Lonchura striata: one gene and its partners. Each later gene encodes a partner of the first gene's protein in a complex. Links are inferred from orthologs where the notes say so. Each region holds a gene or a part of one and is shown in the gene's direction. Other genes may lie near its edges.

Evidence for each region.
Region 2: the proteins of PDZK1 (region 1) and SLC15A2 are in contact, whole or in part, in a crystal structure (PDB 6EZI), measured with the Homo sapiens proteins. The link is inferred for Lonchura striata from reciprocal best matches to the Homo sapiens genes PDZK1 and SLC15A2. Residues at the interface, in NP_001188254.1 of Homo sapiens: Asn386, Gly387, Tyr388, Gly389, Phe390, His391, Leu392, Asn393, Ala394, Ile395, Arg396, Gln407, Tyr436, Glu437, Val440, Ile443, Gln444; in NP_066568.3 of Homo sapiens: Glu723, Thr724, Lys725, Lys726, Thr727, Lys728, Leu729.
Region 3: the proteins of PDZK1 (region 1) and AKAP10 are in contact, whole or in part, in a crystal structure (PDB 3TMH), measured with the Homo sapiens proteins. The link is inferred for Lonchura striata from reciprocal best matches to the Homo sapiens genes PDZK1 and AKAP10. Residues at the interface, in NP_001188254.1 of Homo sapiens: Asn386, Gly387, Tyr388, Gly389, Phe390, His391, Leu392, Asn393, Ala394, Ile395, Arg396, Phe402, Lys404, Tyr436, Glu437, Val440, Ile443, Gln444; in NP_009133.2 of Homo sapiens: Pro655, Leu656, Glu657, Lys658, Ser659, Thr660, Lys661, Leu662.

What each region holds. Positions count from the first base shown.
Region 1 is NC_134604.1:14,073,580-14,084,337, forward strand, and holds the start of PDZK1 (Na(+)/H(+) exchange regulatory cofactor NHE-RF3), read left to right. Parts: upstream 1-6,265; 5' UTR 6,266-6,320; intron 6,321-8,076; 5' UTR 8,077-8,078; coding exon 8,079-8,288; intron 8,289-8,581; coding exon 8,582-8,822; intron 8,823-9,814; coding exon 9,815-9,951; intron 9,952-10,758. UniProt on the Homo sapiens protein: A scaffold protein that connects plasma membrane proteins and regulatory components, regulating their surface expression in epithelial cells apical domains.
Region 2 is NC_134610.1:11,473,262-11,483,543, reverse strand, and holds the start of SLC15A2 (solute carrier family 15 member 2), read left to right. Parts: upstream 1-5,561; 5' UTR 5,562-5,835; coding exon 5,836-5,967; intron 5,968-9,230; coding exon 9,231-9,318; intron 9,319-9,926; coding exon 9,927-10,068; intron 10,069-10,282. UniProt on the Homo sapiens protein: Proton-coupled amino-acid transporter that transports oligopeptides of 2 to 4 amino acids with a preference for dipeptides. Transports neutral and anionic dipeptides with a proton to peptide stoichiometry of 2:1 or 3:1.
Region 3 is NC_134622.1:8,536,659-8,547,490, forward strand, and holds the start of AKAP10 (A-kinase anchor protein 10, mitochondrial), read left to right. Parts: upstream 1-5,032; coding exon 5,033-5,195; intron 5,196-5,227; exon of another isoform or gene 5,228-8,471; coding exon of another isoform or gene 8,472-8,523; coding exon 8,524-8,571; intron 8,572-10,623; coding exon 10,624-10,806; intron 10,807-10,832. UniProt on the Homo sapiens protein: Differentially targeted protein that binds to type I and II regulatory subunits of protein kinase A and anchors them to the mitochondria or the plasma membrane.

The sequences.
Region 1 (10,758 bases):
GTTCTGCTGTAACTAAAACCAGTTTTACTTTTACAATCAAACCAACCTTAGTTCCAGGTATGCATTTTATTAAGATTTATCCTGTCCTTAGTACTTAGGCATGGTTTCCTGGTAGAGTCTGTTGCTTATTTGGAAGGAATTTTAAAATAATAAATAGAAGCTCATACAAATTCTACCGGCTTTTACACTATATTAAAATAATTTAATTTTATACTATTTTTTATTTATTAATCTCGAGTTCAAATAGGGTCTAGATTTATATCCCTCCCAAAGCTTATAATAATGGTTTTCAATAGTTACCCAGGAAAAGGGCTGCATTCTGCATTTCTGCAGTGCCAAACATAGCAGAAGCCATTTCCTTTTTGTGATAACAGATAACAAGCCTTTCAAAGCCACAAAGTGACAAGAACTAATAAAGACCAGGCATTATCCACCCTCACGTTTCTATTAAAAGTTCTATAAGCATCACAAAAGCCTCATCAGAGCAGAACACAATAGTTCTCCCAACACAAAAGCCAATATACAGCAACCAAGAAGATGGAAACCTACAGGAAGTTTGTATTTCTCTTTGCCTTTAAGGCTACATTCAGATTTTTTCCATTATGTTCACTGATCTCAGATAGAAAGGTAAATGAATGCTAGTCCAATTTAAATCCTTCTTGCTGCAAGAATGAATGCACCCAATGAGAAATTTGAAGTTAGGTCCTAATTAGCTGAGACTAAAGCACCCAAGCATTCCAAACATCAGTTCAGCCTCATCTTAGGGTAATGAAATTTCAGGATAGAGTCTTTACTAGCGAAGTGAAATTAAACACTGACTACTACAGACAGGTTAATGCAGAAATTGGGGGCATTTCCTTGAAGGATTACAGACTTGCAGGGTGGAGTGGGACGAGATGGGACACAGGGAGCAGGAAGAGGAATGGAAGAAGGGAAGAGGAGAAGAAATCGATGCCTTAGGCCTGGATAATTAGTGTCTCACTGAGCTGTATTTCTGGAGGAAGAGGATGTGCTCTCTCTGGTGATTGTATAAGCACCTTCTTGTCATACTCCTTGAGGAAAATACTAAATTAGACATAGTGGTTATTATTTATACATTTCAAAAGCTTAAAAGAGAAGGAACACAGTCTACTATCAAATTCAGAAATCTGTCTCCAAAGGGCAAGAAATGCACATGCAACAGAAAGGCAAATAACTTACCATTCTCATTCACAGGTCAAATTAAAAAAAAAAAAAACAAAACATAAGGATACATAGTGTAGTAATAAGAAAAATCCATGAGCTGGATGGAAAAGCCAGACTTGTAAATGTATGACATTATTTTTTATGTCTCATCATCATGCATGTCCAAAGAGTACCAAATGATACAGCAAATGAAAGGCAAAACTGAAGAAATACACATCCAGAAAATGAAAATGTCCAATGGGATGAGCTGGAATGAAAAGTCTTCTCAAGTTACCAGGGCCGGAGGTAGGAGAATTCCAAAGGCATTTCCATACAAGCAGCATTAATCACCCCAACATCAGGTCCAGTTACCCAGGCAGGGCTGCACACAGCCTGAGTGCTGTGCATGCACATAAATATATCCACCTGTGTACTGCCATTTACTACAACAAATCCACCAAAAAACTCCACTCAGCTTGCATAAGTCCTCCTTTTTAAGACCTTTGAATTTTTGCTGCAACAGAAATTTCCAGGTTTTTAACACTGATTTCAGTCTGACATGCAAAGAAGGAGCTCATAGTTAACTCAGTAGTAAATTCTGCACCTTAAAACCCAAATTCATAATCAATACAGAACATTCTAGAGAAGAAAGCATTGTTCAGAGTTTATATTCTCCAGTAAAAAGGCCAGTAGGGAAGACAATTCAATATTTAAAGCACAAAAGACCAAAGCCTGGGGCAAGAGGACTGCCACTGTAGTTCCTTGCTGACAGGTCCAGGGCATAGAGAATCTCTTTGCTGCAAACACAGGGACAGCAAATTAATTTTTTCCCCTCTCCTACTTTTTAGGAAGATATCAAGCCCAAAATGCTCGAAGGTGGGGTATTCCCCCCTTCCTCTAGGATGCTGCAAACCAGTAGGATTGCAACATTTGCTTCCCCTCCTTTTTTTTCTCTGAGTATCTTTACCATGTCAGAAGAATGTGGTCACTAGAAGAGAGAGAATTAATTACCACTTGTCTTTTTACAGGATGACTCATGAGTATTCATTTGGTAGCTCAAATGGACTTTGCTTCATGATTACAGAGAACTTCAGTGAACCAAATATTTCTATTACCAAATCACACGGTGCTTTATAAAACAATTGCCAAACAAAAGTGGAAAAAACATAATTGGCAAAAAAATGGGCAAAGGGAAAGGGCTGCAGTGATTTTCAAAGGCTTAAAGACAGAAACAAAGTATGCTTCCAAATATTTAACCATGAATTTTCATTGACTGCTGTGTTATGAATCCAAGAAAAATAGAGCACTGCACAGAGAGAAGTGAGCCTGTGGTCAGCAAGTCTAGAGTAAGCAATAGGTGAACAAACACTATTTAGAAACCCTCATCATATCCATTTTTAAGGGAGGTACATGCTCCCAGGTAAGAAAGTGAGTCACCATAACAAAGAAGGAACATTTTTACACCAAAATAACCACATAAACCTTTTGTCAATAGAACAATACTGGCAGTGTTACACAGCATTTGAGAACAACTTTATTTTCAGGACCAAACATATGAAGTATATTAATTTCATTTTAGGGCTAGACACAATGTAATATTGTGTTAATAACAAAAGGCACCTTTTAGTCAACTGAACTTTGTAAATTTACACTCATAATAAAGATATAGTTCACCTGTGAATTTACTAAAGTCAGAGATCCCAGCAAGTACCAAAATTAAGAACAAAGGTGCTTTCCTCCATTCACCCAACACACTGAGAAAACAATGTGAACACTTACAACTACTAGAAAATGCTTATTTCTGACCATTTTTGCTAATACAGACGAGTTACAGAATTTCTTCTAACTAAACATCAGGAAAGCTTTGGCAAAAAAGAATTAGAGAAAATATTTTGTAAATGTTATCCCACAGGATAACACCATGACACTAGAAACAAAGGTTCGTGTATCACTACAACCAGGATACAGTTGGAAAGAAACATAATTTGGAGAAAGCTGACGCCCTAAGGTCTAGTCCCTGTGCCAATAGAACCACACCACCTAAGTCACTGTTGCCAAACCCTGCAATATAGGAATATTGTAAATTAAGAGGGTTTTTTTTTTCAGATTTTACCACTTGTCACAGTGTTAAAAAGATATCTTCTTTCTCTTTTTTTTTTTTTTAATTATGATCCTCTTTTTTGTAGCTGTATGAATATGCTTGAGAAGAAAAGGAGACATTACAAGCTGCCTTTACTCTGAGCAATTCTCAAATAATTTTCATTCTTCTGATGGAAGGATAGGAAATTTTTTGAATTTCTGAGCTTCATTAACATTTTACATTTGTGTAGCACCTTTTTCTTGGAAAAAAATCCTGTCAGGACCCAAAATTACCTCACCTGACTATGGCAGTGGCACTACAATTAAAAAATAAAACTTGGATCAGGTGCTGTTTCCTTGTGTGCTGGCCTGAGATGCTTGTAGAGTTCCCATCTTGGCTGATGAGGCACTCTGATGTCTCCATCACCCAGAATGACTCGTGTGAAAGGTTGCAAGCAGAGGACAGGGCAGGTTTGACTTGTCTGGTTCCTACAACACCGGGGCTCACTTACTTCACTTCATGGGTTTGAAGTTGTACCAAAAGGAGCAACTCCAAACCACAACAGCTTGCAAATCCACTTAGGGTAAGTGGATTACAGTAAGGCTTTTACAACACCAATGACTGTCATGTTGCAGCACATTTGGGTTATGATCTCTTCTATTACCTTCCCTTGGAATTAGACAGTCGCAGCAGACAGCTGGGGAAAACACAGGTATTACTTCTAATAATCCAATTCCACAGCAAGTCAACGAGAGAAATAAGTAGATTTAAAGCTTTTTAAAATTGAATTAGATTTTTTAACAAGAAGTTCACACGGTCAGTTTATTAATTACCTTGGTATCTCAAATTTAGAGGCTTCCACCTCTAAACATTAGAAACAACCCTCAGGTCAGTCCAAGTCCGTAAGTATATCCTGCACATGCTCATGGATCATGGGTAAGCTATGCCCTTTGACAGCTGACCCCAGCCAGCAGCCAAACACCCACCCTGACTCCCTCTCACTCCTCTCCTGCTGAATGGGGACAAAATAAAAAAAAGGCTAGACTTATGCATTGAGATAAGGATAAAGCTATTCTTATCTCAATGGAATGGAATGGAATGGAATGGAATGGAAAGGAAAGGAAAGGAAAGGAAAGGAAAGGAAAGGAAAGGAAAGGAAAGGAAAGGAAAGGAAAGGAAAGGAAAGGAAAGGAAAGGAAAGGAAAGGAAAGGAAAGGAAAGGAAAGCTAAGGAAAGGAAAGGAAAGGAAAGGAAAGGAAAGGAAAGGAAAGGAAAGGAAAGGAAAGGAAAATGGGAATTCATTCCCTGGTTCCCATCAGCAGGCAGATCTCTAGCTACCTTTGTGGGAAGCCACACTTCAACAGGCACAACAGCTGCTTGGGGAGACCACCACAACCACAAAGAGCTGTCCTTCCTCCTCCTTTTACCAAGCTTTTAATGCTGAGCACAACATCAAATGGTATGGAACATGGAATATCCCTTTGAACAGTTCAGGTCAGCTATCACCACTCTGTCCCCTCCCTGTAGTCCAGGAGGAGTGAAGGGGAGAAAAGCCACAAGAAGAAGAAAACAGTGTTTCTCAGCAGCCAAAAAAGTGGTGTGGTATCAACACTGTCTCAGCCACAGATGCAAAGCACAGCAGCATGAAGGCTGCCAGGGGAGAGTTAACTCCACCCCAGCCAGAACAGTACAGTTCCAACTCCTCATTCCACACCATTCATGTCATGTGTGATCTGAGATATCAAAGTATCCTCTGTGCCACTCATACATTGCTTCATTTCTATGCCCTACTCAAACCTTTTCATTCCATCTATTTATCCTTCATGAAATTGCTTCTTACCAACATTTACAACTTATACTACGTACCTAAACCATTGTTACATCCAACAGTCAGGTTTACACATCCTCTATAACCACTATACCTTGTCTCTTGACATATATGCAGATAGTATTCCCCCATTCCACGCCCTCCCTCCCCCAAATTTCCATAAGAACAGTCAATTGCTTTGGCCCTATCTGTCAAGGGGATCACTCAGGACAGCACCACGTTGGATTGTTAAGCAACAAGACCACTTGGGGTGGGTGAGCACTGCACTCACATGGTTCCTGGTGAGGCTCATTCTCTGTTGGTTCAGATGATTCCTGCTGTATTCCTTCCTATATCACACAACTCAAATAATGGATTCTTTTCTGCCAGGGGTAAATCTCCTTGAGGTAGACAGCAGATTTCCACTTTCTCCTGCACCAAGTGCACCTGGGTTCCTGAGCAAAGACAATCCCACAAACGCACTTGCCTTTTCCCAAGGCAGAGAAACCCACACAGCCTCTCCCAGTGCACCTACAGTGTAGCCAGTTTGCCATGCCTCACCATATTGATATCACAAGCACCTCCCTCCACCTGCTCCAGGGAGATTGTACCTACACAGGTCACTTGATTGCAGTACATGTTTCACATGTGTTAAGGCCTCAACAGTCAGGGTCCACCCCTCAAATCACAAACCCTTTTTTTTTCCAATGCATCTCTCCCAGGCATGGTCCCTATCTTGAATTCTTCAAGTTTTTCCATCCTGTTTTCTCCCCATGTCCCCATGTAGAGGAAAGTGGCTCAGTGGGCATCTGGCTGCTGGTCAAGGTTAACCTGGCACAGCCTTTTATTTTTCCATCCAACAATGGGCATGCAAATTTTAACCAGTAACTTCCTAACCTGCAAGCAAATGCTGCTGGCCCAGGTCAATCCAGCAGCACCTAAACCTGCTCACTTTAAGACATTTCTCAGAGCAGAAGACTTTAGCCCAGACAAAGGTCAGGCTTGCCTCAGATGACCTCCTTGAGTGAGTTTTTGAGTATAATATCAGTAGGACAAAATGCAAAGCTAATGAGAAATGCACGTGATTAGCACTTCTGCCCCCAAGGACAAGATAGCCTATCAAAGTATCACACATTCAGTGAAACTTAGTTAAATAAATAATCTTTTAAATCAACCTTTACCCAATCAAAGTCCAGTCTTACTTATACGTACAGCTCAGGAGGAACGGCAAAAGACAACTCCAGTCAAGGCTGCTCTACATTGATACAGGTAAGAAGTTCATTTTTTCCTAACCCCTTTTCCCTTTGGAAAGTTATTTTTGCAAGACAAATGATTTTGCATGGATCAAAAGGTGTTGTATGCAGTGCACTGTAACCTTCTCTCCACTTCTAAATATGAAGAAATAATTTTCTCTCATAGAAGCCTACTGTTTCTCCAGCTCTGTGTAGTACTGGTTTTGCATCTTAATTTATGAATTATCACAGATTCCCAGTGTTTGTCGAGAAAAGCTACTTTGAATGGTACTTGCAATTGATACAGTCTGATGTGTTCTAAACCATGTTTAAATAGCAGGGAAGTTCATCCCAATATTAGCTAATGTCAGTGTAATACACAGAGACTCAAAAATACTCAAAGCACTGGTCCATGGACTACAAGTGAATCATGCTCTGCAGGATGCATATCCTTGCAAACTGAAATTCCTGTATTCTCCAGCTCCAGTGACATCTGTGCCAAACTCACCCCACACATCCATGCTGTTCTATGTGCTGCCCAAGTAACATCAGCAGTGCAGCAAAGAGTCTGCACCGTGGGTAGCTACAGCAGTGGTTCTGCACTAAGCTGCTCTCACAGAAGGATTTGACTGCCAGCAGATCTAAAGAACTGACTTCTGTCAGTAAAGGGACGGGAAAAAAAAGTCTTTCCAGTAAAATAGTAACCAAGGTTGCTAATTATCTGGATTTTTACAACTGGAGGAATTTGTCTTCATTTGTCTCGTTCCCCCATCTTCATGGATCTTCAGCAGGACAATGTTTTGAGAGATGTTCTCTGGCCCCACCTGTTATTTACTTTCTATACATGGTATTCCTGCATGACGAACTTCACCCAAACCACAGTTTCTTCACATCCCAGAGCATTTTAGGTAGGGACTTTTAGAGGTGGCCTGGTGCAATGTCCCATAGAAAACAGAGTCAGCTTAGATCAGGTTACTCAGGGCCCAATCCAGGTATCTCCAAGGACAGAGATTTCACAGCCTCTCTGGACACTTCTAGTCATACCTGACTGGCCCCAAGAGGAAAAGCTGTTCTTATGAATGTCTGGTTGGAATTTCCCTTGCTGTGCTGCAGCCTGTCTGTTCCCTCTCATCCTCCCACTGTTTATTTCCAAGAAGAGTCTGGCTGTGTTCTCCACACAATCCAGTTAGGCAGTGGGACGATATCAAGAAGATCTTGCCTTTAATTTCTCTTCCCAAGACTGAACAAATCCAGCTCTCTCAGCCTCCTTAAATAAGTGTTTCAGAACCAAAATTCCCTCTGTGAACTAGCTCAAATATGGTAATTACTTGGGGAGATCAAAACTGGGGATAGTATTCACATGTGGTCCCCCAAGTGTCAAAGGGAGGGGAACAATCCCTTCACTCCATTCTCTTTTCCCAAAACTTCATTTCCTTTGTAAGACTTAATCCTGGTATTACACCCTTTCTACAATCCTTACTATGTTTTCAGGCAGGCTTTCCTTATTTCAGTTCTGCATTTTGCTTAACTTCATGTGAGATATAGAGAGAAAAAAAGCAAGGAGGGTCAGAGATTCTTCTTGCTAGTCTTGTTAACTAAACTCAGCTTTGCACAGCTGTTTTTTTTGGGGCCAAAAAAATCCAAACCAACCAACCAAAAAAAAAAAAAAAAAAAACCTAAAAAACACCCCAAGAATTCTGAAGCAAACCCTCTTGATATGCAATTAGGGAGAATACACCCCAGGTAAGCTTCCTGTTCATACTCACAGGTGTTTTCTCCATCCTGTCTGGTAGAGATGACTCCTGCTCTGCAGCCCCGAGAGTGCACAGTGAGCAAGAAGCCCCAGAAGAAATACGGCTTCTTCCTACGGATCGAGCAGGACACGGCGGGGCACATCGTGCGGAACGTGGAACGCAACAGCCCGGCCGAGAGGGCTGGCCTGCAGGATGGAGACAGAGTGCTCAGGGTCAACGGTGTCTTCGTGGACAAGGAGGAACATGCACAGGTACAAATCTGTTCAGGCTGGGATCCACACCATGCCCCAGGCCCACAGCTGCTGTGTGAAGCTTTTTCTTCCAGTTTTTATGGCTAGGAAACCCAGGAGCAGAGTCAACTGCTCTGAGTATCCCCCTGTATCGTTCATTACCCACCATGGGCATGGAATGTCTTTGGGATGCCTCCCTAGTGCATGAGCAGGGGGTGAGACAACAGAAGCAGTAGACAGTGCAGCTTTTCCTGGGTAAAGCTTTTAGCTCCATCACTCCAGTGCCTGCTTCCATTTCCCCTTGTCCATTACAGGTGGTGGAGATGGTCAGAAACAGCGGGAATTCCGTTGTGCTCCTTGTTCTGGATGACGCATCCTATGAAAAGGCACAAAAGGAGGGAGTGAACTTGGAAGAGCTGGGTCAAAAAGCATCCACAGGACAGCAGCAGGAGCAGCAGTGCCCACCATCCATGGCCACTGCAGCTCCACAGCCCCGGCTCTGCTACCTGGTGAAGGAGGAGACAGGCTACGGCTTCTCCCTGAAAAGCATAGAAGGTGAGAGCCTGGAGAGAAGAAACTGGAGATAAAATATAAATATGTATATATTTGGCTGCAGGGACAGAGGCAACCACAGTTAATATGTGGGGGCTAGTGCGGAGACACAAACTGTTCTTTCTAACAGAAAGAAAGTGAGGAGTAGCACGATGAGTTCAGATTTATCTCCAGAACACTTCTGTACAGCATATGCAGCACAAGGTTTCCTGAGGACCATGCTTCTCATGGGGTGGAAAACAGATTAAAAAAAAAAAAAAAGAGAGAGAGAAAAATAATAAGCTATTTTCTGCTTGTTATTTAAGCCCACTTAACAAAACCAAACTAGATACACACTCAATGTGCTATGTTAAGTCCTGTTCCATTCCTCAAAATCACCTCAGGAATCAGCACATGAGATTCTAGACAGCTGTAAGAAATACTTTCCCTGATTTGTAAGTTAATTTATCTAGAAAGAAAAGGATTTTGAACCTTTTCCATATATGCCTTTTTTTCCAAGGCCAGTCAACGGAAGAGGGAGGTCTTCTGGAAAGCACCACCTCTAAAGAGCCCTCTAAAGGCTATTTTGGAATCCAATATAATTGAGAGACCAAACATAGAAGGCTTCCAAACACAGGAAGTTATGAAACGCATAATACAACAGTAAAAGCAGCTTCTCTCTTCAAAATAATGGGGGAAGTGGAGGATGGGAGGGAGCAGGATGCAAATCCCTTTCAACTATGTTAATCAGCCCTTTTTCACCCCTAGTAGGGAAAGAAAAACCATTTTGAGCTGCAGATAGTGAACGAATATCTCCCTCTACCACTGAAGGGATTTTTCCAGGCCAGAGTAAGAGACAGAGGAGTGTCTGTGTGGAAGGTTTGTGGTGCTCCTGTAATATGTGTGCAAGCAGAGACCAAGAATCTCCGAGGACATCAGTGCTGAGTTTCCTTAACCACTATATTCAGGCCTATTGCAGTGACTTGCCCTGTGTAATGAGTTTTCATTTATTTTAGGACAGAAGGGGTTGTTCATAGTAGAGCTTTCATCACAAGGAGCAGCTGCAAAGGCTGGTGTCCAAAATAACGATCGCCTGATTGAAATCAATGGGAAAAATGTGGAAAATGACACCCATGAGGAAGTGGTGGAAAAGGTATTGATTTATCTTCTGTTCTGGCCTACTTTTACAGCAACCTATCAGGGTTACTGAGGAGGCCAGGCTGGCTGATTTAAGCACTTCACAGTAAATCTTGGGAGCTGCTGTTCATGCACCACCAGCACACCAGTGTAGCCCTCTGTGCTGGCTGTGTTATCAAGCGGCCTCTTGAACTGCCTCTCAATGAACATGGCCATCAAGACAGGCCAAAGAACTTTAAATAACACAAGTATACTGCTGCCAGGAACCCTATTAAATCAATTCATTTGAATTCATTTGAACAGAAGTCCTGGAAATGCTGCTAATGGCAGGAGGGCAAGTCATCCAATGTAGTTTCCAGGGCAGGAAGAGGGAAGCCTCTGATGACAGTCAGCATGGAGCAGGGAAGATTTCATGATTTTAGACAGTAGTCCCCTTTCTCCTGTGAAGAAGTCCAAAACTCAGGAAATTTACTGTGCAAGTAATTTCACTAATTGGCTGCAAAGAACATTGCTAATGAGGCTTCCAGCTTTCCGCTGTTGGCACTGCTAAAACACAGCTGGAGCTGAAGAGATTTCAGAGAGCCATGAGACTCCAGCATTCCAGCAGCATTCAGTGCACACAGCTAACTATGGAATCATACACACCTGTGTTGCTTTGAGCTACTGCAACACCACCAGCAGAGTGACACTGGTTAAGATGAGTAAAAAGAGCACCCATTAGAATAGAAAGGACTAAGAGAAAGACTTGGAGAGGTTGAACAGACAGGGAAAAAAAAAAAAAAATCTCACCTCAGAATCAGTAATACAGGGAGACAGAAGAGGA
Region 2 (10,282 bases), on another chromosome or scaffold:
GAATTTATTCCTCATTTCATTTTGCAGTTTGTGATCAGCTTAGGCTTCTCACTATTGCACATTGTAGGTATTGTTGTATGCTTCTTTTCACTCTTAAATTCAGGTGTCTCTCAGTGTTTCATTAGTGCACCTTTCTAGTCCTCCTGCCCAGTTCCACTGCTCATCCTATGTCCAGCTAATGGCAGAGTTCATCAGGAACTGACTGCCTGTTTGTATCCGTGACTTTATCATGAGGTGATGATGATAGATATGGGGCCTTCAAGCAGAGGGACTTGAGTGCAATAAAAAGCTGAAGGATGCGTATGGCTTCAGGGCCATAATACTGGGAGATGGAGACCCCATTTAGTCTACTGCTGAATTCATTCTAAACTATTTCTATGTCTGCAGAAAATATTTGGGGTTTTCCCCTGTGGAAGAGTTTCCCTGAAACCTCTCTGAAAGAAAATCACAGCAGTTTTCAGGAGGTTATGGGGGAAAGCAGAAAGGAGTGGAAGTGCAGTAGAAAAATTATTGATTTTGCTTCAGGCAGCTCATGGCTTGAAGGTGAAAAAGAGTCTGAAAGAGGGAACATCTTGTCAGTGTTATATCTGCTTTCCTGTGTGATATGTGAAGAACTGGGGACTGAAGCCAGTCTGTCAAAGGTTGGTGAAACTCTGTGTTTTCTCAAAACTGTAATCTTCTCACTAGGCGCCTCATCCCTGGAAACATTCACAATCAGGTTTGACAGGGCTCTGAGCAACCTGATCTAGTTGAAGATGTCCCTGCAGAGGTGCTGGAATGGATGGACTTTGAATGTCCCCTCCAGCCCTAACTGTTCTGTGATTCTATGATAGTGAACGACATGTATAGTTAAGACCGACTCTGTAGTTGGTGTACAGTATAAAAAATTTGGATTTATGGCCAGCTGTAGATCCTGTCTAGACACAGAGCCAGTCCTTATCCTCAATCAGAAGTAGTAATTTTATTGAAAGATAGTGTAGCTGTAGTGCAAAATGACTGATCATGAACATCCATGAAAGGTGCCATGCAGCCTCAGAGGCTGTATTCAAGAAAGGCAGATTCCCTATGACATTTGAGAGCTGAGCAGAGATGATTTTGGATCAGAAATAAATGGAAGTTTAACTATTTTAGTGGTGGCCAAAGGACTGCTGTTGAGAAGTGAAACATTAACAGCAGAGTGAAAGACAGCCGGGATTGCTTAACGAGGTTCATCTTCAGGCACAACGGAGCTGGGGGCGTCCAAATCACGGAATGGCAGAGGGGGACTGCACACCAAAGCCTGCAAAGGAAGCCCAAGCTGGTGAGGAAGTTTTTAAAGATTTCTTCTTGCTGATAGTAGGAGAAACTGAAGGCAAAAAGGCACAAGGAGGGATGAGAAGTTTCTCTGATTGTTACAGGTTGACTTGTGACCAGATGACAGGCTCTTAAATGCAAATTAGGTACTTGATATTGTTAGTGGTATTGATCTAAATACCTTTACAATTTTAAGTCCGTAATGGCTGGGGAATAGAGGAGAGATGTGGGTTTGAAGGCTTCTGGCATGTTTTCCTGGTTGTTCAAATGATTCGATACATAATTTTCTTAAATTACTTTGAAGTTTGGGAGAAGTCTGCAGGCAATGGAAACCACTCTTGATCTGTATAAATCAGTTAAACCCTGATCTTTCTTGTGATCAAAGAATTGGAGAAAATAAGCCAGAAGAGACCTCCAGAGGTTATCATGTCCTTTCAGGGTCTGGTCATTAAGCCCAAAGTGTTGCTGCCACACATTCATCTAGTTTCTTAAAACTTTATCTCAGAAACAGAGAAAGAGGAGAGAAATACATATATGGTAAAAGGCTATAAACGTATGGCAGGTGGATATGAATTAAAAATAAGACTCATTATACAAGTGCGGCTAAGCTGAAAATTAGGAAGGGGTTGTACCAAGAGATGAATGGAGGTAAAAATGAAGAGATCAGTTGAGTATACACAGATTAATGTGGACAGTATTGCAGCAGGGAGTGGTGAGAATGTGAAGATTGTAAAAGCAATATGAAAATGCAGATTCTCTTTCTGAGGATTTGGGAACCAGAAAAAAAAAATTATGAACTGAAAGTCATAGAAAAATGTATTAATGGAAACTTCTGGCTATGCAAGGCATCTGGTAGCTGAATGTAACATGCACGCATGAATCATCCTACAGACTCCCCAGTTGCATAAGGGATAATTCAAAAAAGAGGAAATCTTACAGAAAGCAATCCTTGCTTTCATGTTTACCAGGTGAAGTTGTTTGGCACAAGATTTTCACAGAAACTCAGGAGGGCATCTCATCTATATGCCTGCTGTGGGACAGGACCTGATATTTATGTAGTCCCTAACGCGTTCTTATGTAACAGACATCATGGGTTGTCTGAACCCTGCAGGCCGAACCACACCATCTCTATTCCAATGCTCATCTGTCCTCACTGACAGGGAAATTGGAAAAAGGAGCCACAAATAGTCTTTGCTGAAAAAAGTCAGTGATTTCTCTCATCTTATCCTCAACAAAAATGGATTATAGTTCATCTCTCTGGCTGTTTTTCCTGTCAATGGAAAGGAGTGCCATTTGGTATTCTTCTTTCTCGATTTTCATCGGTTTTATTCCAGAGTCATAAAATAGTTTCTCCCATTTTGCAACACCATTTTGAGTTCATACCCCGTTGTCTCCCAGGCTTCTTTACCCTAGTTTTGAGTACAAATGAACACCATGCTGACTGTACTGAAGTTTTCTTTGATAATGGAAAAGCTAAGGACCTGCATGTTTCATGCTTTCCTAATGTGATGGAAAATCATTGATACTCTTACAGAGATTTCCCAGTTGTCCACTATTATGAGCATTTCATATGGACCCTATTTCCTTGTGAGAGATCAGAGGCACTGGAGTTAGGATATATCACATACAGAGCTGCTCTAGCTGTTACTCCACTTACCAAAGAATAAAACAGTCTGGTTTGAGAGCACATTTTCCAATCTGAAATAGCTGTTTTGTAATCCATATTCTCCTTTTGGTGCTTAGAAGGGATTATCTGATCAAGTATCTCTCTTGCTATGGAGGAACACTCCTGGAGGAACAATCTGCTTTTTTAAAGGCAGTGATGATGCTTGTTCTGCTTTTTCCCTTCACAAGGGAAGTGGCTCAATGTGGTATTCAGCACTTGAAGGTGAATTTCATCAGGCTCTGGTGATCTGAGCACATTTGAGATATCCAAATATTATTTAAGCAGTTTTTGTCTCATTTCACACATACTCCTGCTGGTTAATTTAAAAGGTGTTGCATACCTTTGTTGCAATTTATTTTTTTAGTAAAAAATAACAAAAAGGACACACGTTTCCTGGCTTCTCTGGATGATTGTTTTCTGGTTTAAATAACAGATTTTCCTTTTCCTTCCTCTTTCTCCAATATTGACAGCATTTCTATCACCTCTTTTTATTGCCTTTTATGTCCCCTTGCTAGCTGTAGTTTATTTTGTGCCTTAGCTTTGCAGGCACACTTCTACCTCTTCATGTTTGATCTGTTTGTCTATACCTGTCTTCAGAAATGCCATCTTATTTCCATTTGTAGTACAATTCCTTCCTGATTTTCAGTCCAGTCACACAGGTCTCCTTCTATCAAGTATCATTCTGTATCTGTATCTAAATTTGTGCTTGCAAATTTATTCTCTTAAACTTGTTTTTGCTGTTTGCTACAAGTTACCATTTATTGCCAGACATTTGAATTCCTTTTCTTCCTTTCTGTCTGAGAAGACCTTCTGGCAGATAGTGGCCTAAACAGCTCTGCAGTGCATTAGACAAGTAGTATGTTAATCCTACTGACTGACAGGGTTTTTCATGCTAGTATTTAAAAAAAATAATAATTTAGCTTATGTGACACACAGGGTTGTATATACACAGAGGAAATACAGCTGCAGGAGGCTAATAATATTAAGGCATCACACTGCAGCAGCATGGGAGCATGTGCAAGGGATGGTGAAACCTTTCCTGTCTTCCTTTTTTATTATTCCTTTAGTAATTCTGCTGCTGTGTTTGCTCTGCTTGCCTGTGTATGACAGAATACAGCAGATTTCTACTGGGAGCCGTATAGAAATACCTGGGGCATGAGATGCCAGCAGAGGGCTTAGAAATATTTTTGCTGCCTCTAGCAGGGGGTGAAGACTTGCAGGACTGGAGTAGGTGCTAACCTGGTGTGGAGGGGCAGGATCCATGTGAACAAGACCTGTTCTGCCCCCAGCTCTGGGTCTGCTTTTGAGCACTCATGCCCATGAAAAGGCTTTGATAAACCTGAGCTCCCTAGAGGCTGCACCCAGGTGAAAAGCAAGGCTGTGCATGTGTGCAGGTCACTGGGAGGGCTGAAGACAAGGAGCTGGTTTGTGGCAGTACCAGATGAGGTACCAAACTCTTGTTTTACCACTGCTGTAGAGGATAAAAGGAACAAAGAAGGGGTAGAACTTTCTGGCACCATCTAAAGTTTGGCCTCCAAGTCAGCTGACCCCGTGTTTAGCTGCCCAGTTAGTAGGAGTGAAATGGGGTCTCTGGGGATTTTCAGAGGAAGCAATGCCAGAGTACATGATGGATAGTAATTATACTTCCTTTGTGCAGTCCATCACAAGTGTTCTCCATGTCTTGTTAGCAATAACTGAAGCCAGATTAAGGATCTGTAGTGTGGCCAAAGGCCTCTTTCCTGGTTCATCAGCTGCAAACCTGGTTCTTGTGATAACCAAGCACTATCAGCAACTCGATACTTGCACTAAGGATGAGTTTATGCAGACTCCTTGTACCAGCTGTGGATTCTGGGTGTGGTCTGTGCATTACTGATAAGAGAAGGGAGAAATATTTGAGAAAATTCTTTGAACATTTGCCTTTTAAAGAAGCCAAGTGTAAGAGGAAGAAAAAAACCTCTGCACTGCACTGAGGATACAGCAGAGCCACAAGCACTGAGGATAGTTTATGGGAAGGTTGTGAGTTTTGCTCTGCAATTGCAACTGTCACTGGAAGAATGCAGATGACAAGCTCCACTATTGCCATGGGAAGGGCATGGAAGGAGGGACCACAGTGTACCTGCAGGGAGCTGAGCACATGTAGCTGCAGGGGGAATCTAGGGACTCCCAGCAGAGATGGGCTGCATATGTCACATATGGAGCGCCAAAGTGGTCTTCTGGAAAATAGAAAGGAGAGAGAGGTGTTGGGGCTACTTCTGGGTGCTGGCTGTGCACACTTGATTAAACTGTCCCATGGGAAAAGGCAAGGTCATTCTAGGGAACTGATGTGGGAATGAACCCTGGGTCACTTCACTCCTGTAGTAGCAAAGAAATGATTTATCACAGTGCAGGCATCTGTGACATCCAGCGTCCAAGGGTTTGGTGTGATGAACATTTTAGTAGTTATGTCTTGGAATGTGTGGCTTTCCAGTGAAATAAGATCCCTGCAGAGTAAACCTGTCATTACCACACTGGGAGGGAAATGCATGCTCTGCTCTAAATCCACAGGCTGTAGGTGTATCTGGGACCTGGGATATTTATTCAGCTCACATCTGTGCAGCATCCAGCACCATGCTGGGCTGGTGCACGTAAAATAGCTGGGGGTATGCCAAACAACAGGGAGGACTGTGCCACAAAGTGCTGACAGCCTCAACCTGTGACTGATTTAGGCTGTGTTCCCTGATTCCTCTTGAACTCTGGAATTATCTTTCCTGGTAGCATCTCCCTCCCCTTTCTGCCCTGGCTGCACAAATGTGCTCAATTAGGGTTAACTCAAACTGAATCAAACTTCGTGCCTGAGGTTGGAAATCTTCCCAGTCAACTCACCACAGCCACATAGCATGGTGGGAGACAAGGCGAGAGGGGAGATGAACGCTTTTCAGAGAAACGAATCCAAGGAAACTTTGTTCACTTTTATTTCTGCAGGAGATGATCCCCCCAGAGGAGATTTCCCTCTTCAGAAAAAATCTCCGGTAAGTGTTATTGCTGGTTTGCTTTGCTTTGCTTTGCTTTCTGCTCAGCTTGTTTTAAACATTGCAAGATCCCTGTGTTCTCTCCTCTGTTGTGCTCTGGCTAGAGACAAACACCCTTTCTTGCAGAGGGCTGAAATAAGCCTTAACAACTCAAGGCAAAAATCCTTCCACTAACCTGATTAAGTTAACAAAGTGCAGCTTAAAGGGAGAACACAAACTAACTGAATGTTTGGGGAAAAGGGTAAGGGATTTATTGCCTTTTTCTGAAAACTACTTTCCTTGTGAGGAAAAACTTAGATCTCTGAAGTGGATGGGGCTGTTGTGCATAGGAGTGAGGGAGTTGAACTCTCTTCAGTTTGATGAAACCCACCAGGGAAGGGTACCCAGATGATGAAAAGCAGAAGGAAGGACAGGGATTGAGGACAGGCCACTGGTGAGTGTTGGAGAGCCCAATTGTGGTGTCAGAGCCTTAGGTTTACATCTTTGCCTCTGATTTATAGCCTTATTCAGGTGAATGTGTTGCTGCTGTGCAGCTTTGATGTTTGTGCCAGTTTTCAGACTAATTCTTTTTGAGTGCTTGACCCCTAAAAACTGTTCAATGCATAGGATTCAGGAAGAATTTGGCTTATGTTGTAGCTGCTTTGACTTGCAGGATAATATGTAATACTTAGTCTTAAAAGTCACAGTCATGCTGTTAGCAAACCAATTATTTAACTCAATTTTAATTACTGTGCAGACATTAACTATTGGATATCCAGAACTCCTGGGAAATATTAATCTTTATCCTGTTTTGCCATTAGTTAGCAAGAAGGAGAGCTGAAAACAAACGTCTCCTGTAGTGGGTACTTTAAATGAACTTTCTTTTTTTCAAAGAAACAGTCTGTCAACTTCCACAGTATCTTTAAGAGATCCATAATCCCACAGATCCCAGGTTTGCTGTGGTAGCTAAGCACTGCAGACTATCTGTGTGTTCATGAATCCAGGCTTAACCTCTTTGCTTTTGCTGGGGCTGTCTGCTGAGCACGGTCCTCCTCCACAAAAGCAAGCAAACTGCATCTGGCTGTCTGCATGGATGAAAGCTTCCCCCTTTTGGATGTCCAGGCAGGCCACAGGCAGGTCAGTGGTACTGTGGAGAGAATACATGAGGGTTTGTGCACGTGCTGATGCCATCTCATGACACACAAGCCAGATGGAAGTACCCCTGCTTGTAAGTCCTTGCTCTGTGTTTGTAAGCACTTGCTCAGGCACTTGGGGAGGTTTAGCTGGGAAGTCACTGCCCCCTGCTCTCCTTTCCCTCCTTGCCCCTGCTTGTCTGTAGGAAGTGCCCATTCCAGAGCAGGAATGGCTGAAATGAATCACTGCACCTTAAACTCGTGCAAATAAATCCACTGGAACTTGTGCACTGGGTGTGGAGGGGTGAGTTCAGGCAGCAGCACTCCTGACACCTGTCCACCTGGTTTGGACAGTCACTCTGTGCACCTTATTAAATGCCATGAGTATGTATAGTAAGGTCTGGGAAGAAGAGGAAGAAAAAAATCCCTGTTGTACAATTTTACTTCCAATTTCATAAAACACCTCCCAGCGCAAACATGAAACATAATCTGCCTCTTATGGATTTTCTTCCATTATGAAAAACTTGTTGGAGAAAAATATTCTGTGTGTGCATATGGTTGTGTGTTTGTGCATTTACAGCTTATATATGCCACTTTTTTTAGGCTATTCTAAAAGCAGGAGGCCCAGTGCAGTTTCCAAGGGAGCAAACTCTTACAAGCCATATTGCTGAGCACAATGGTTTCAGAGTAAATCATAAATGAAATGGATAATTATGTATTTACTCTAGTAAAGCAAAAAGATTAAGGGTTTCTTATAAAAAGGCAACCCTTTGATAAGAAAAAAAAAATATATGATATATATAAAAATGGACAAAAATACTTGTCTTTAGAGGATTAAGTAATGGAAAGTAGAGGGGAGGTGGGAGTTGTGGAGTTTTGATTTTCTGTTTGTTTTTTTACTCTTCCATAATGTTGAGGAAGACAGCATCATTAAGCTATACTTTTCTAGACTTGATGCCATTGCATTGGGAATCCAAATAAGCTTAGGTCTCTTGGTGGTAAAATAAACCTGAATAAACACATCTATTTTGGTACTGTATTTGCATTTGGGACTCTGGGAAGAAATACAGGAATTCATTCTTTCTGACATGAAGCACAGAAATGCATATGAAGAGATCATCTCACTGGCCCATACCATGGCTGTTTAAATCTATAAGTATAGTTGTATCTGTTAATATCACACTTCCTCCAGATTCCTTGCCAAATCCATGGCCAGCCCCTCTCCTACTAATTGGCAGAGGCTGGGCAGTGCTGTGCAAACCTGCTTTCCTGTTGTGAGGCAGTGGAGCCACTAAGCAGCTGGAATTTGAAAGCTGCTTAGCTCAGACCACGGTGGGGTAGCAAGAGGGACAGAGGCCCCCACAGGGTCATGCCAAGACTCATCTGTTTAATGCCTTGTATTTCACTTGGGAAGTGCTGATGTTAGCTGCAGTAAAGCCAGGCTCAGAGAAAGAGTGGCCACACTTAGACAGGCTTGACAGTCCCATCACTGGCTTTATTCAAAAATTCTGATTAATAAATTGAATTAACCATAGCTGTGCCAGCAATCTTGGAATATGAAATGGACGCCATGCCTGAGGGAGTGCCAGACAGAGAGCTGATGCTCTGCTTCAGTGAGTGGTGGCACAGCTCAGCACAAGTGAGGAGCAGAGATTGAGAGAGGTAGCAGCTTTATATACAGAAGCAGACAGCAGATCCCTGGGGTCTCCCTGTTTCTGAGGCAAAGTCTGGTACTAGAAGAGGGAGCAGTTTTGGGGCAGGGTGGTAGCTTTATATAAAGTACAGAAGAAAAGGCATCCAAAAGTGTTCTTTTGGTCTCAGTGATGTTTTAGCATTGCAATCAAGAGTTGGTAGCACCCTTCCAGTGGAGTTCCTGGAGCTACAAGCATGGTGGGCTGCTGATTGCCCACGAATCCCCATGGCAGTCCTTACTGGGCTCATGTCAGCCAGGCTGATTCACTGGGGAGCCTTAATCAATGCAAGACTACTGTGAGGTCCACTCTCTTTTTTGAGTCCAGCTCACAGGCCAGTCAAGCAGCTGTGGGCACTTGATTTTTGGACTGGACTCCTCTCCACCACCCAGACACTGTGAGAATATGTTTCTGGGATGAAGGCTTTGACAGTTGATACATTCTTGTTTGTCTTCCACAGAAACTGTGTGGCTCCAACTACCCCCTGAGCATTGCCTTCATTGTGGTAAACGAGTTCTGTGAGCGCTTCTCCTACTATGGCATGCGAGGTATGTGGCCTGTGACTTTCCTGTCCTGAGGTCTTTACACAAACTGCATTGGTGTTTCTGAGCAGTGCTGTGTGTAGTATCAGCTATATTTCAAAGTTAATTGATATTTTGGAATGCACATATGAACAGTGTAGCCTAACTTTGTTGCTATATCTAAGATGAGAAGAAGTTGGGACTAGAGGGCTCCAAATGTACCTTCCAGTCTAAATTATTATACAATTTTCTATATCAAATCTGGTTTTCTACTGTGTGATGTCTTTCATAGTTGATGTGCAATCAGTGTGCTTGGGAATTGAATCTTACAGGCACCTAATCTGCAAAAAGAAAAAGTGCATAAACAGAACTACAGGTTAGGGTAAGATAAGCTAGAAAATACATTTTTCAGCTAAACATAAATGTTTATGAGCAAAGGATGTCAGATACTCATATATCTCATTTTAGTTTCTCCTGTGTTAGAGATTATGAGGAACAGGTCTGGAAGCACAGATCTTTCCACCACACTACTCAGTTGCTAGACAAATCAGTAGTTTTCTTACCACCACGATCCTGCTTACCTGCAGATATACACATTAATTATCTGATATGATTCTTTTTTTGTTTCCTTTTAGCTGTCCTGACACTGTATTTCTTAAGCTTCTTCCACTGGGATGAGAATCTCTCCACTGCTGTGTACCATGCCTTTTCTGCGCTGTGTTATTTCACACCTGTCATTGGAGCCATCATGGCAGACTCGTGGCTGGGGAAATACAAGTAAGTGAAGATCTCTAATTCAGTCAGTGTGCATCGACACCATGCAGCCTGTGCAAGGACAGTGCTGTGCTTGCTCCCAGTTTTGAGCTCAGTGTGAAGCAAAGACACACTCGTGAAGGTCAGCTCCTCTCTTTTAACAGAGCTGATCTGTTTGCTCATGCTGTTCTGTGCTTGTCTGACACCCAAAGGCCAATAGGCAACCAAGTTGGGACAA
Region 3 (10,832 bases), on another chromosome or scaffold:
GCGCTCCCTGCGCCGCCCCCCCCGCGGGGCGCGGCTGAGGACGGGCGCGGTTGCGACACCCGCGGCGGGCGGGGGGAATCGGGGCGGGGGGAGCGGGGTCACCTGCGCGCACGCTTTGGGGGCTCCCACAGCGGGTTATTCCCGCGGTTAATTACCGGCCGTGTTTTTAACCCTCCCTCCGCGGCCGCAGACGGCGATGCTGCGGCTCCGCTGCTGCCGGGGACACGCGTGCGGAACGCGGCTGCGGGAATTCCGCGGGTGGCACCGCGCGGGGGATTGAAACCCCCGTGGCAGGGAGGTCTCGGAGTGGGGGTGCGCCGGCTCGGGCTCAGGTGTTATCCTCTAATCCCGCAGGTTTCTCCAAGGTGTTGGAGGCAGAGCGGCTGCCCGGGAGCCTGCGTTCACTTGAGGTGTAAAAGCTGCGCCTCCCAGTGCAGATGGATTTTTAGAACAGTCATCCTAAAAACTTCATGGATCAGGTTTTTTTCCTGCTGAACCTTACGGTGCCCGTGCAGCACGGATTGATGTTTTATGTATGTGTCTCGCAGATCTTACGGGTTTTCTCGGTCTCCAGGAGCTCAGCTGTTCCCCCGAGCGGTCCCACGTCCATCAGCCGCATGAAAAATCAGATCCTTTTTAAAATGTAGCAAAAAATGTCTTTATCCTGCGCTACTGTCCTCGGGCGAGTTTCTGGCGCTTACTGCCGGTAGCGCTGAAACAGGTAATGACATTTGGGCAGCTTTTGGTTTAAAAAAAAAAAAAATATATATATATATTTTCCTTTAGATCCAGGGCGCGTTGGTTGGTGTTTTAAGCTCAGCGCTTGGAGAGGGCTCCGAGTGCTGGGAAGCCCGTGCGGATCCCGGCAGCACAAGCCGGGGGCTTGGCACCCTCTCCTGGTGCGCGCCCGGAGTGCTGCGGCAGCGCCGCCGCATCATCCGCTCCTACCGCCGACCCCCGGCAGAGCCCCCGGTAACGCCGCGGCTCCGTGCGGCCCTGGCTGCGTCCTGCTTCTAGAAATGCCGCGGACGGTGCTCGTCCTGTGAGCTCAGGAAAGCTCTGAAGGGACAAAATCACACTCAGCCTTGTTTTTCCTCCCATATCCCTGGTTTGAAGAAATACCCGAGTGCTGTCATGTGCTGCATCGCTTCTTGTACTCCTTCAGGCATTTAGATAAGCAAAAGGTGGGGGGAAAAATAACGGAGAAACAGAAGACGGTGTTAAACTTAATTATTATTTTTCAAGTATTTATGACGCCATAGAATGGCCAAGAATTTGGGGGAAACACTGTGGATTGCAGAAAGGTCATCTGAGGTGAGTCCCACACAGCGCTGGCGACGCCATCTGGGCAGGGTGGAGGAGCCAACGAGCCCGTTTGCCTTCCCAAATTCAGAATAATCCCAGAGTGGCTCCCAGCCCTGCAGAGAAGGCTCCGCTCCTGCAGGAGCTGGGAAGAGCTCAGGACCTGGAGAGGGGAATTTTCTGCTTTCTGCTGCTCAGTGCTGCTCCCGGAGCTCTGCCCAGCACATCTGCAGCAGCAGGTCACCAACACGGCTCTTCCCGCTGGGACTGAACCTTTTCTTGTACCTTTTTGCCCCCATTTTACACTTCAAACCTCGAGTTTTAACTCACCCACTGGGAGTCAGGCAGAGACTCTTCACCCCTTGCTTGAACAAGGCTCCCTCCCTGGGAATGTGCCCCGTGGAAGGGAACAGGGAGGAATTGCAGTGTTTTAATAAAAGCAGTTAATTTTCGCCAGGCTGGGACGTGGGAGAATTCCCTTCTTTGAAATGCTCAGCACAGGTACCAACGCTCCCGTTCCCATGAGGTTCATGGACTGAGGTCAGCCACAGCCAGGCTTGCCAGGAATTTTGTGTGGGCATGCAGACACTTGTTTTCCCATTAAGAAAAAAAAATAGGAGTAAAACACAAGTCTCTAATTGAAGGTGCCGTGAGTTTCTGTGCAAAGACATCTTTGGTTCCTGATGTGTTTAGGATATTATTATTTATTCCAGAGCAAGATCTCAGCTGTTAAAGTCCTTACTCATATAATTTTTGGTATTTGTATTCCCAAAGTAGTGAGAATTTTATATATGAGAGAGAATCCCAACATCATGGGAATAAATGGAGTATGCCAAAGATGGGAGAAATGGGAATGGCCTCTAACGTGTTACATTTGTGGGTTTGTGCTGTAACTGAGCAGAGCAGTGCCCCGTGATTAATTATCCAAGGCAACAAAGTCTTGTTCTGCTTTATTATATCTGTCCAAACATGATCATTCCATTCAGATCTTTTCAAATACTAAAGTTTACTTCTTTTTGTAGCTGTGGAGAGGGGGAAAAAAATCAAGCAGTGAGACAGTTTTGTGTTTTTTTTTTTTTGTTTTGTTTTGGTTTTTTTTATTTGAATATTTTCATTTAGGGAGGAGTCCTTCAGCTTCTCTGACGTTGGCCAACCCATGTCCTGAAGTGATATTTAACTGATTGCTCAGATTATTAAACTGTCACGTTCTGTTAAAGACTCCAGCACCTGCTGTCACTCACACTTCCAGTTCAGATCCAGGTCCAAGGCTGAGTGAGCAGCTCTGGATTGGAGCTTCAGCCCTTCTGAATTCCTTAAAGAGAGAAAATTTCGATCCAGGGAAGGAAATTCATGTCAAACTCTTGTGTAAATCACTGCACCCTTGTTCAACCCCCATGTATATATCCTGAAACCCAAGAGGATTGGGTGCAACATTTTTGGCAGACTATTAATTTAGTGTTCTCTGAGTCATCCCATTCTTTCCAATTTGCTCATCTTCAGAATGTTTTAGTCTATTAGCAGTCTCTGAGGTTATGTGCCAATTAAATAATTCCATTCATTATTCAGAAACCATATAGAATTAGTTCATTATGCTTCAGCCAGCCTCTGGGCATGTGTACAAAACCGTATCAAAGAGCACCAGTTAACAAAAATAATATCAAAAGAGAAAATGCAATTGCTACAGGGTGTTGATCAGTGGTACCATCCCGCCCAGGAGACAGCTCCATCCCAGCCCTGGAAGATCCCCGTGCACCTTTTATTTCATTTCCCATTTATGAGTCTTAATTACTGAGTGTTTGTAAAGAGCTTTGGAACACTTGGATGCAAGACGGTGCAGAAACTCAGGCAATGATTATTAATTACATCATTTTGGCACGGCTCGGGCAGCACGGGCAGGACAGTTCCATGGCAAGGGGTGACACGGGGATGGCAGAGCTACCCTCTGGCTCCGTGCCTGTTTCCTCACGCACAAACCAGAATTTTTAATCACAGTCTTGACAAAGTGTTTGTAAAGCTTTCGGAGCAGAGATCTGCTGGGATATCAACCTGAGCGCCGTGTCACGGTGACAAACGTCCCTGGTAGGTGCGGGAGGAGCAGATTTGCCTGGGGAGGATGATGAAGAGGATTTTAGTGCAGGGTTCGGGAGGCAGACGGAGCTGACTTATCGGGCAGTGATCCCGGGGCGAGCAGCCCTGGGCATTTCTGGATCTGCCGGGCCCGGGCTGGGCCGAAGGAGCCGCCGCACCCCGGCCCATGGCTGAGGGACAGGCACCGGCACTGGCCGTGTGTCCGTGTGTCCGTGTGTCCGTCCGACAGTGACGGGGACACTGTGGGACACGGCGCTGAGGGCTCTCTGCAGGGCCTCGGCCCTCACGGCCCTGCACGGAGCTCGCCCGCTGTCCCTGCCTTGAGCGCTCTGTGCCTGCCTTGAGGGCTCTGTCTCTGCCTTGAGGGCTTTGAGGGCTCTGTCCCTGCCCTCGGGCTCTCTGTCCCTCCACCCTCGGGCTCTGTCCCTCTACCCTCGGGCTCTCTGTCCCTGCCCTCGGACTCTCTGTCCCTGCCCTCGGGATCTCTGTCCTTGCCCTCGGGCTCTCTGTCCCTGCCCTCGGACTCTCTGTCCCTCTACCCTCGGGCTCTCTATCCCTTGCCCTCGGGCTCTCTGTCCCTGCCCTCGGGCTCTCTGTCCTTGCCCTCGGGCTCTCTGTCCCTCTACCCTCGGGCTCTCTGTCCCTTGCCCTCGGGCTCTCTGTCCCTCTACCCTCGGGCTCTCTATCCCTTGCCCTCGGGCTCTCTGTCCCTGCCCTCGGGCTCTCTGTCCTTGCCCTCGGGCTCTCTGTCCCTGCCCTCAGACTCTCTGTCCCTGCCCTCGGACTCTCTGTCCTTGCCCTCGGGCTCTGTCCCTGCCCTCGGGCTCTCTGTCCCTTGCCCTCGGGCTCTCTGTCCCTTGCCCTCGGGCTCTCTGTCCCTTGCCCTCGGGCTCTCTGTCCTTGCCCTCGGGCTCTCTGTCCCTCTACCCTCGGGCTCTCTGTCCCTGCCCTCGGGCTCTCTGTCCCTGCCCTCGGGCTCTCTGTCCCTTGCCCTCGGGCTCTGTCCCTTGCCCTCGGGCTCTCTGTCCCTGCCCTCGGGCTCTCTGTCCTTGCCCTCGGGCTCTGTCCCTCTACCCTCGGGCTCTCTGTCCCTTGCCCTCGGGCTCTCTGTCCTTGCCCTCGGGCTCTGTCCCTGCCCTCGGGATCTCTGTCCCTGTCCTCGGGCTCTGTGTCCCTTGTCCTCGGGCTCTCTGTCCCTGCCCGCGGGCCGCGCCCGAGCTGCCGCAGCGTCCCCGGGTCACCCGTGCCCTCAGCCAAGATGGCGGCTGGCGCCTCACGCCGCCCGGCGCCCCCCGCCCCGATCAAAGATGGCCGCCCCGCCGCCCTGGACCCCAGCGGGCTTCTTGCCCTCACCCAACATGGCGGCCCCGCCCGGCCCCCGTTGTGCGGTGGGTGTGAAGCCGGGGCCGCCATGTTGAGTGCGGCCGCATCCCGCCGTGCCGCGCGGGCGGCGCTGCCGGAAGCGGGCGCGGGGCCGGTGTTGACAACATGGCGGCCGCGGGCGCCGCCGCGGGAGGAAGAGGCGGAGGGAGCGGCGGCGGCGGGCGGGCGCGGCTGCCTCATTCATAGGGCCCGGCGCGCTGCCTTCCCCCCCTCCCGCCTCCCCCCGCCCCGCCGCCGCCTCGCCCCCCTCCCCGGCGCTATGTCCTTCTTCAGGCGGAAAGGTAGGGCAGCGGCGGCGGGCGGGCGGCCGCCGGGCTCGTCCCCTGCGCGGCCGCCGGGCCCCGGCCCTGCCCCGCCGGGCATCGCCACCGGGCCCCGCGAGGACGCGCGGGCCCTGAGGAGCGGCCTCCCCGCCGATGACGGTCAGTGCCTGCGTCCTCGGGGGGCTCGGGGCTCTCCGGTGAGCGGCCGCGGCCCCGGCTGCCCGCGGCTCCGCCAGCGGCTGTGGCACCTCCCGCGCTCGGAGCCCTTTGCAGATGCGTTTTGCACAGGGCTGGCACGGCCGGCTTTGTGACAGTGAGAATGGGCTGAGAATGTACAGCAGGAGCTGAAGGTGTCGGTGGAAAAGGGACCTCGTCGCGCTGAGCCCAAGGAGTGCTCGGCAGTTCGTTCTGCAGTAGGAGCTGGGAAATTCAGGGCTGCTGAAATATTTGTAACGCCCCAGCAGCACGAATGGGAGCAGTTTAAGTGTTCTCTGCGTTTTGAAGGCGCTTTGTGCCCGTGCTGCAGGCAGGGCCAGAGCTCTCAAGCCGCCCAGCTGTGGTTTGGGTGGTTTTTGTTGCAAGTGGCACCTTTTAGGAAGGGCCCCTTGGGACAGTTCTGTTTCCTCGTGGTGCTGTAGCTCGAGCACTGATCTTCTGATGCAGCGCTGTCCTAAAGTCTTTCTGTGTTTCTGAACCCAAAATGCACATGCTGGGAGGCAAGGACGTGGTACCTGGGGTGATGGTGATGCTCTTGGCTCTCACATCCTCTGGATCTCACTCAGCCAAAGCAGCAGCACTGAAAATGTCACTCTGGGGAGGTTAGTGCAGCAGTTGTGCGAGAAATGAGTCTAAACGTAGCAGATCTGAAGAGTAGAAGCCATTGAGGGCTTTGCAATCCTTTTTGGGGTGTTTATATACAAATACTGGGCTGCAGAATAAAACTTTGATAGTGGTTATAAACTCTTCAAAAAGAGCTCCTGCTGCTTCATTGAGAATTGTGGAGCTGAGGTTCCCTCCTGACGCGGGATCACAGGGACAAGGTCAGCTTGTGTGGAAACCTTCTCAGGGAGAAAGCCATGAAAGCTCTGATTATCTGAGAAGTGTAATTGAGGATCTGTATTCCTTTGATTAAAGGATCTTTGGTCAGAAAGGCAAATCAGCACTAAATGCAGAGACGCTGTGAAGGAGAGGAGAAAAGCAACCTTTCATCTGGGCTGTGCATAAAACACTGCTTGGTGTGATTCCGTTTTTAGGTGTGGCTTTTAGACAAGATTTGAACTGAAGCTGTGAGGGAAGCAGCACATTTAGGCTTAGGATAAAACTCTGGCCACGTGCAGGCCAAAATCCTACAAACACCAATGTTCCTGGGGTGAGCTGTGGTTGTTTAAGAGGATATTGCAGTGGGTAGAAATTAAGACTAATTTTAAATTAAACCATAGCAAGAATCATAAAGCTTGTAGAAAAATCAAATATCAGGGTGAAGTGTTTTTATAGCTTGGGCCTCAAAATAAAGGTCTGGCAGACTGAGGGTGGATAATGGGTTGAGAAATCAAAATATAACAGGTGAGCTGGGCGCTTGAGGGCAGTTATGAAACTGCTGCCAGTGGACCAGCTCATCCCTGGGATATCTTGGGAATAACGTGCAGTCCCACAGCCTGGCTGACCTCAGCAGGATCTCGTTGTTTTCTGTGTGCTGTTGACACACTGTGAACACTTTTTGAGTTTGTTGAGAGCATTTCAGGATGTGAATTGCAACTCTGGAATGTCATGTGCTGCTTTGGCACCCTTTGGAAGGGGATTGGCCACTGGAAATCTCTCCCTCAGTCCCCATTCTGTGGTTCCTTCTGGTTTCACACAGGCACCGCACAGCATCCGCTTTTTGGGGGAAGTGAAAGTGAGTTCATGTGGTGCAACTTCACTCTCTGAAATTCGGGCTTGTCCTGGATCAGAGCTGATTTTGTCCCCTCCTGTTACTGATGGCACCTGGTCGTGCTCAGAGCTGCTGGGGACAGGAGCAGCCTGTGTGGAAAGGGTTGGGACACGACCCTGGAGTTTGTATTTCCAGTAGTAAGTAGGTATTTAGGGAGGAAAGAAGGAACAGAGGTATTTAAACTGAAAATAGGCTTATGGAGGGCTGTTGTGTGAAACCCAGGACTTGCTGCTGATAGCTAGGAACCGGTTTGATGAAATACTGGAGTGATTTGGGAAGGATGAGAGTTCATAGAGGTTGCTTGCTTCCCTCTGGTTTCTCTCCAGTTATGTAAAGGCTGGTTTCCCTCGTGCTGCATCAGGCTGCAGGTCAGCGTGGAGGGAATCCTCCTCTTGTAATGCACACTTCAACCCCTCTGTCACACAGTGAGCTCCCTGGCAGCTGCAATTTTCGACCCCGAGTTGCAGATTTGCAGCCCTGCAGCGTTTGTGCTCGCCGGGGAGGCTGGCAGGCAGCGCTGCAGCCACCGGGCCAGGGCAGTTATGTAACCGGAGCTCTCCTGTAAAATATTTAACATCCTTAGGTGGGGATAGGAAGGCTTCGCTTGGGGTGGTGTTTTGGATGTGTTTTGTGATGTAAATGTGGGATTGTGCTGGGCTGTGCACTGAGGAAGGGCTCCTCAGTGGGTGTTCAGGAATGACCTATTTGTAGTAATAATCCTTGCCTGGAGCAGCCTCCCTGGTAGATCACATTCTCCAGTATCCCCCCTGCATTTGTTTCTCTGCCATCCTGTTTGTGTGCTGCTTGGGCTTCTTTATTTTTGTTTTGAATAGATCTCCTTCTTCAATTCCTTTAGGAGCTTCCTTTAAAAAATACTAATATTTTTTAAAAAATAAATCCTCAAAGCACTTTTCCATCATAACTTTTTGCACTGTTATCTCCCCATCAGTTGCTCACCCGGGCTTTCATGATGATTAAGCAAGACCATTTGTAAGAGAATTAACTGTCTGCAGGGAGTTTCCAGAGCATTTCTGTGGTACCCATCATGGCATGGAAGCAGCTCCATGGAGCCAGAGCCAGCCCACATCTCCTCAGTGTTGGGTGTTGTGCTGCTCTTCCTGTAACACAAGGGAAATGTTGTTTTCAGGTGATTTTTGGTTCACAGACAGCACCTGCCAGTGCTCTACACTTAAAACACATCTTCCCTACTTCCCAGTTCTTCCCTACTTCCCAGTTCATGCTGTTTGTTAAAGTCACCCTGAATGTAGCTTTAATCTACTGACAGCAAACATCTTCCTCCACAGAAATGTAACAGACTGTATTTCATGAAACTTAATTAATGGATGGGTTTTGCTTTTGAAAGTAAGTCAACAGAAAAGCTTTGAAAGCCTCTGTCAGTTACTGGATGTGCAATTTAAACGAGAAATGGGTATTAAGAAAATTAGAGTTTCTATCTGCCTGTGATACTTGCTGATGTTGGGAATTCTATGTCCATTCTCAGGTAAATGCCATTATTGACCCAAAATAGCATTAACATATTCCCTTGTATTTTTACAGTGAAAGGCAAAGAACAAGAAAAGACCACAGATGTGAAAGCAATTAAAAGTAAGATCAAACTTTCGTCTGTAAATTCAGATCTCTGCCATCATTTACCATTTCTATCTTACCCAACAGGATCATTCTTTACTCCTGAGCACAGATCTGACCTGTGCGTCAAACCCAGAATTTAATTCTGTTTCTGGGTATTTATGGTAACTCATCTTTCCTCCTCCTCTTGCTGAATCTGTAGGTGCAGGAGGTTGTTAAGCTATGTCAGGCGTGAGCTTTAATTCAAAGCCATCAGGCACTCCGGTCACCTTGCACGTGGTGGTTGTTCCCATCCACAGCAAACTGCTCCTGGAGTTTCTTGCTCAGCTGCAGTGTCCTTTGGAGTTTGGAAAGTGCAGCCTCACTGTGTCTGATTTGCAGAAGAAGCTGCAGATTTAACTTGGATGGGCCTTGTGAGGCTGAAGATCCAAATCCTGGATGAGCCATTCCTTGCTGCTCTGTGGGGTGCAGAAATCTTGCTGCTAAATCTCATAGGAAAGGAGAAAAGATCGTGGTGGAGAAGAGATTTATAAACTGCAGGAAAACAAGTTTGCTGATCCTGTCAGATTTTCTTGCAGTACTGAAAGGAGATGAGGGAAATGCCAGAATCTGATCTGTTACTTTCATACCCTCAGACAAAATCTTGTTTCTGTACTGGGTAATGTGTTATCTGCACATCAGGAGAAGATTGCAGGTGTTTTTCTTGGTGGTCTGTCTTTCAAATCAAATGCAGGAAACAGTGAGTTACATCCATTTCATAGCCACACCTCACCTTTCAGTGCAACTATCAGTATGGTGACCCTGAAAATAAAAATAAACTTGAAAATTTATAGTATTGCATGTTGTGAGCCGCTGCAGCAGAGAGCACCTTTGTTTGACCCTTGGAGAGAGCAGAACATTTTTTTCTCAAATGTCCAAAATATAAAATTAAATTTAAATCTAATTGACAAAAGCCTGTAGCATTATGAGGAGTGTGGCTCTGGCTCTACACAAGTGATCTCCACCAAATTTTCCCACTGCTGCCATCCCTTGGCCTTGAAAAAAAGGTATTTTCTCCATTACTGCTGGTATGAAACACCCAGAGGCTTTGTAAGAAGCAGCAAGTGGTGTCTTGGTGTCCAATCCTGCAGCTGCACAAACACTTGGCAGTAATTTAAATGTTTCCATTGCTCCTGAGGTATCTGTGACATCTAAGTGTGAAATTGTCAACTGCTGTCATAAAATTGGGAATACAAATAAAGTGATGCAGCATGGAAGTCATGAAGCCCAAGTTGCCTGACACCGTGATGGAACACATCTCTGGAAGTGTTGAGATAATCAGCTCGCCTGATGTACTTTATTTTTGAGTCAGAGGTGTAAGATGTCCCTGCATGACATCCTGATCTAACACAGCTTCCTGAGAGCTTTGGAATCTGCTGTGAGCATGTTTGGGGTTTTTTTCAGCTTTGTCATCAATTAACAATTAGCTCAGTTTTGTGTGAGGAAGTTCTTGTTTGTTCTTTTTGGGCCACTTGTGTCCTAAAACAGCCAGAGGGGGTTAAGTTTATAACCTTTGTTTCATCACAGGTATTTCCTTATTGCTTTTTTTTTTTCTCTAGCAACCAAACAGAAGCAACAAAAATATTTTTGAGAAATAACTCCTATTAGACCTCACAGATAGCTTTGTGGTTCAGGATTTTTTTATCACATTTTAGCTTTCAAAAATGCATGGAAATGGATTGGCAGGAGCATTGGAACGAAACTAAACTGTTGACAGAGTATAAAGTTGTTACAGTAGTTATCAAGGAAGCAGGAAGACTCATTTCATGTGTAAACTTAGACGTGGCATCTCTTGAATTGCTGCTGAATAAGGAAAATAGAGGTGGGTGGGAGTGACTTTATTCTTGCAATAATAAAACTTGTGGTCTTTAAACAGACCCTTGATCAAAGATGACACCCAGGGTACAGTGAGGTGTTAATGAGACTGCCTCTTGCAAACTCCCTGGTGTATATTGGGGTGCTTAGCACTGGGCAATGTTTAGAAGAGGTCTTGGGGTCCTTGTGCTTTAACCATTCCTGTCTTGGTTGCAGCTCCAATCCCAGTACATTCCCCTCAGAGAAGCACTAGGAATCATGCCTTGCTGGAGGCTGCAGGACCAAGCCATGTGGCCATCAATGCCATCTCTGCCAACATGGACTCCTTCTCCAGCAGCCGCACAGCTGCCCTCAAGAAGCAGCCGAGTCACATGGAAGCTGCTCACTTTGGAGACTTAGGTAATGTCAGCTTCTCTTTTTATTCT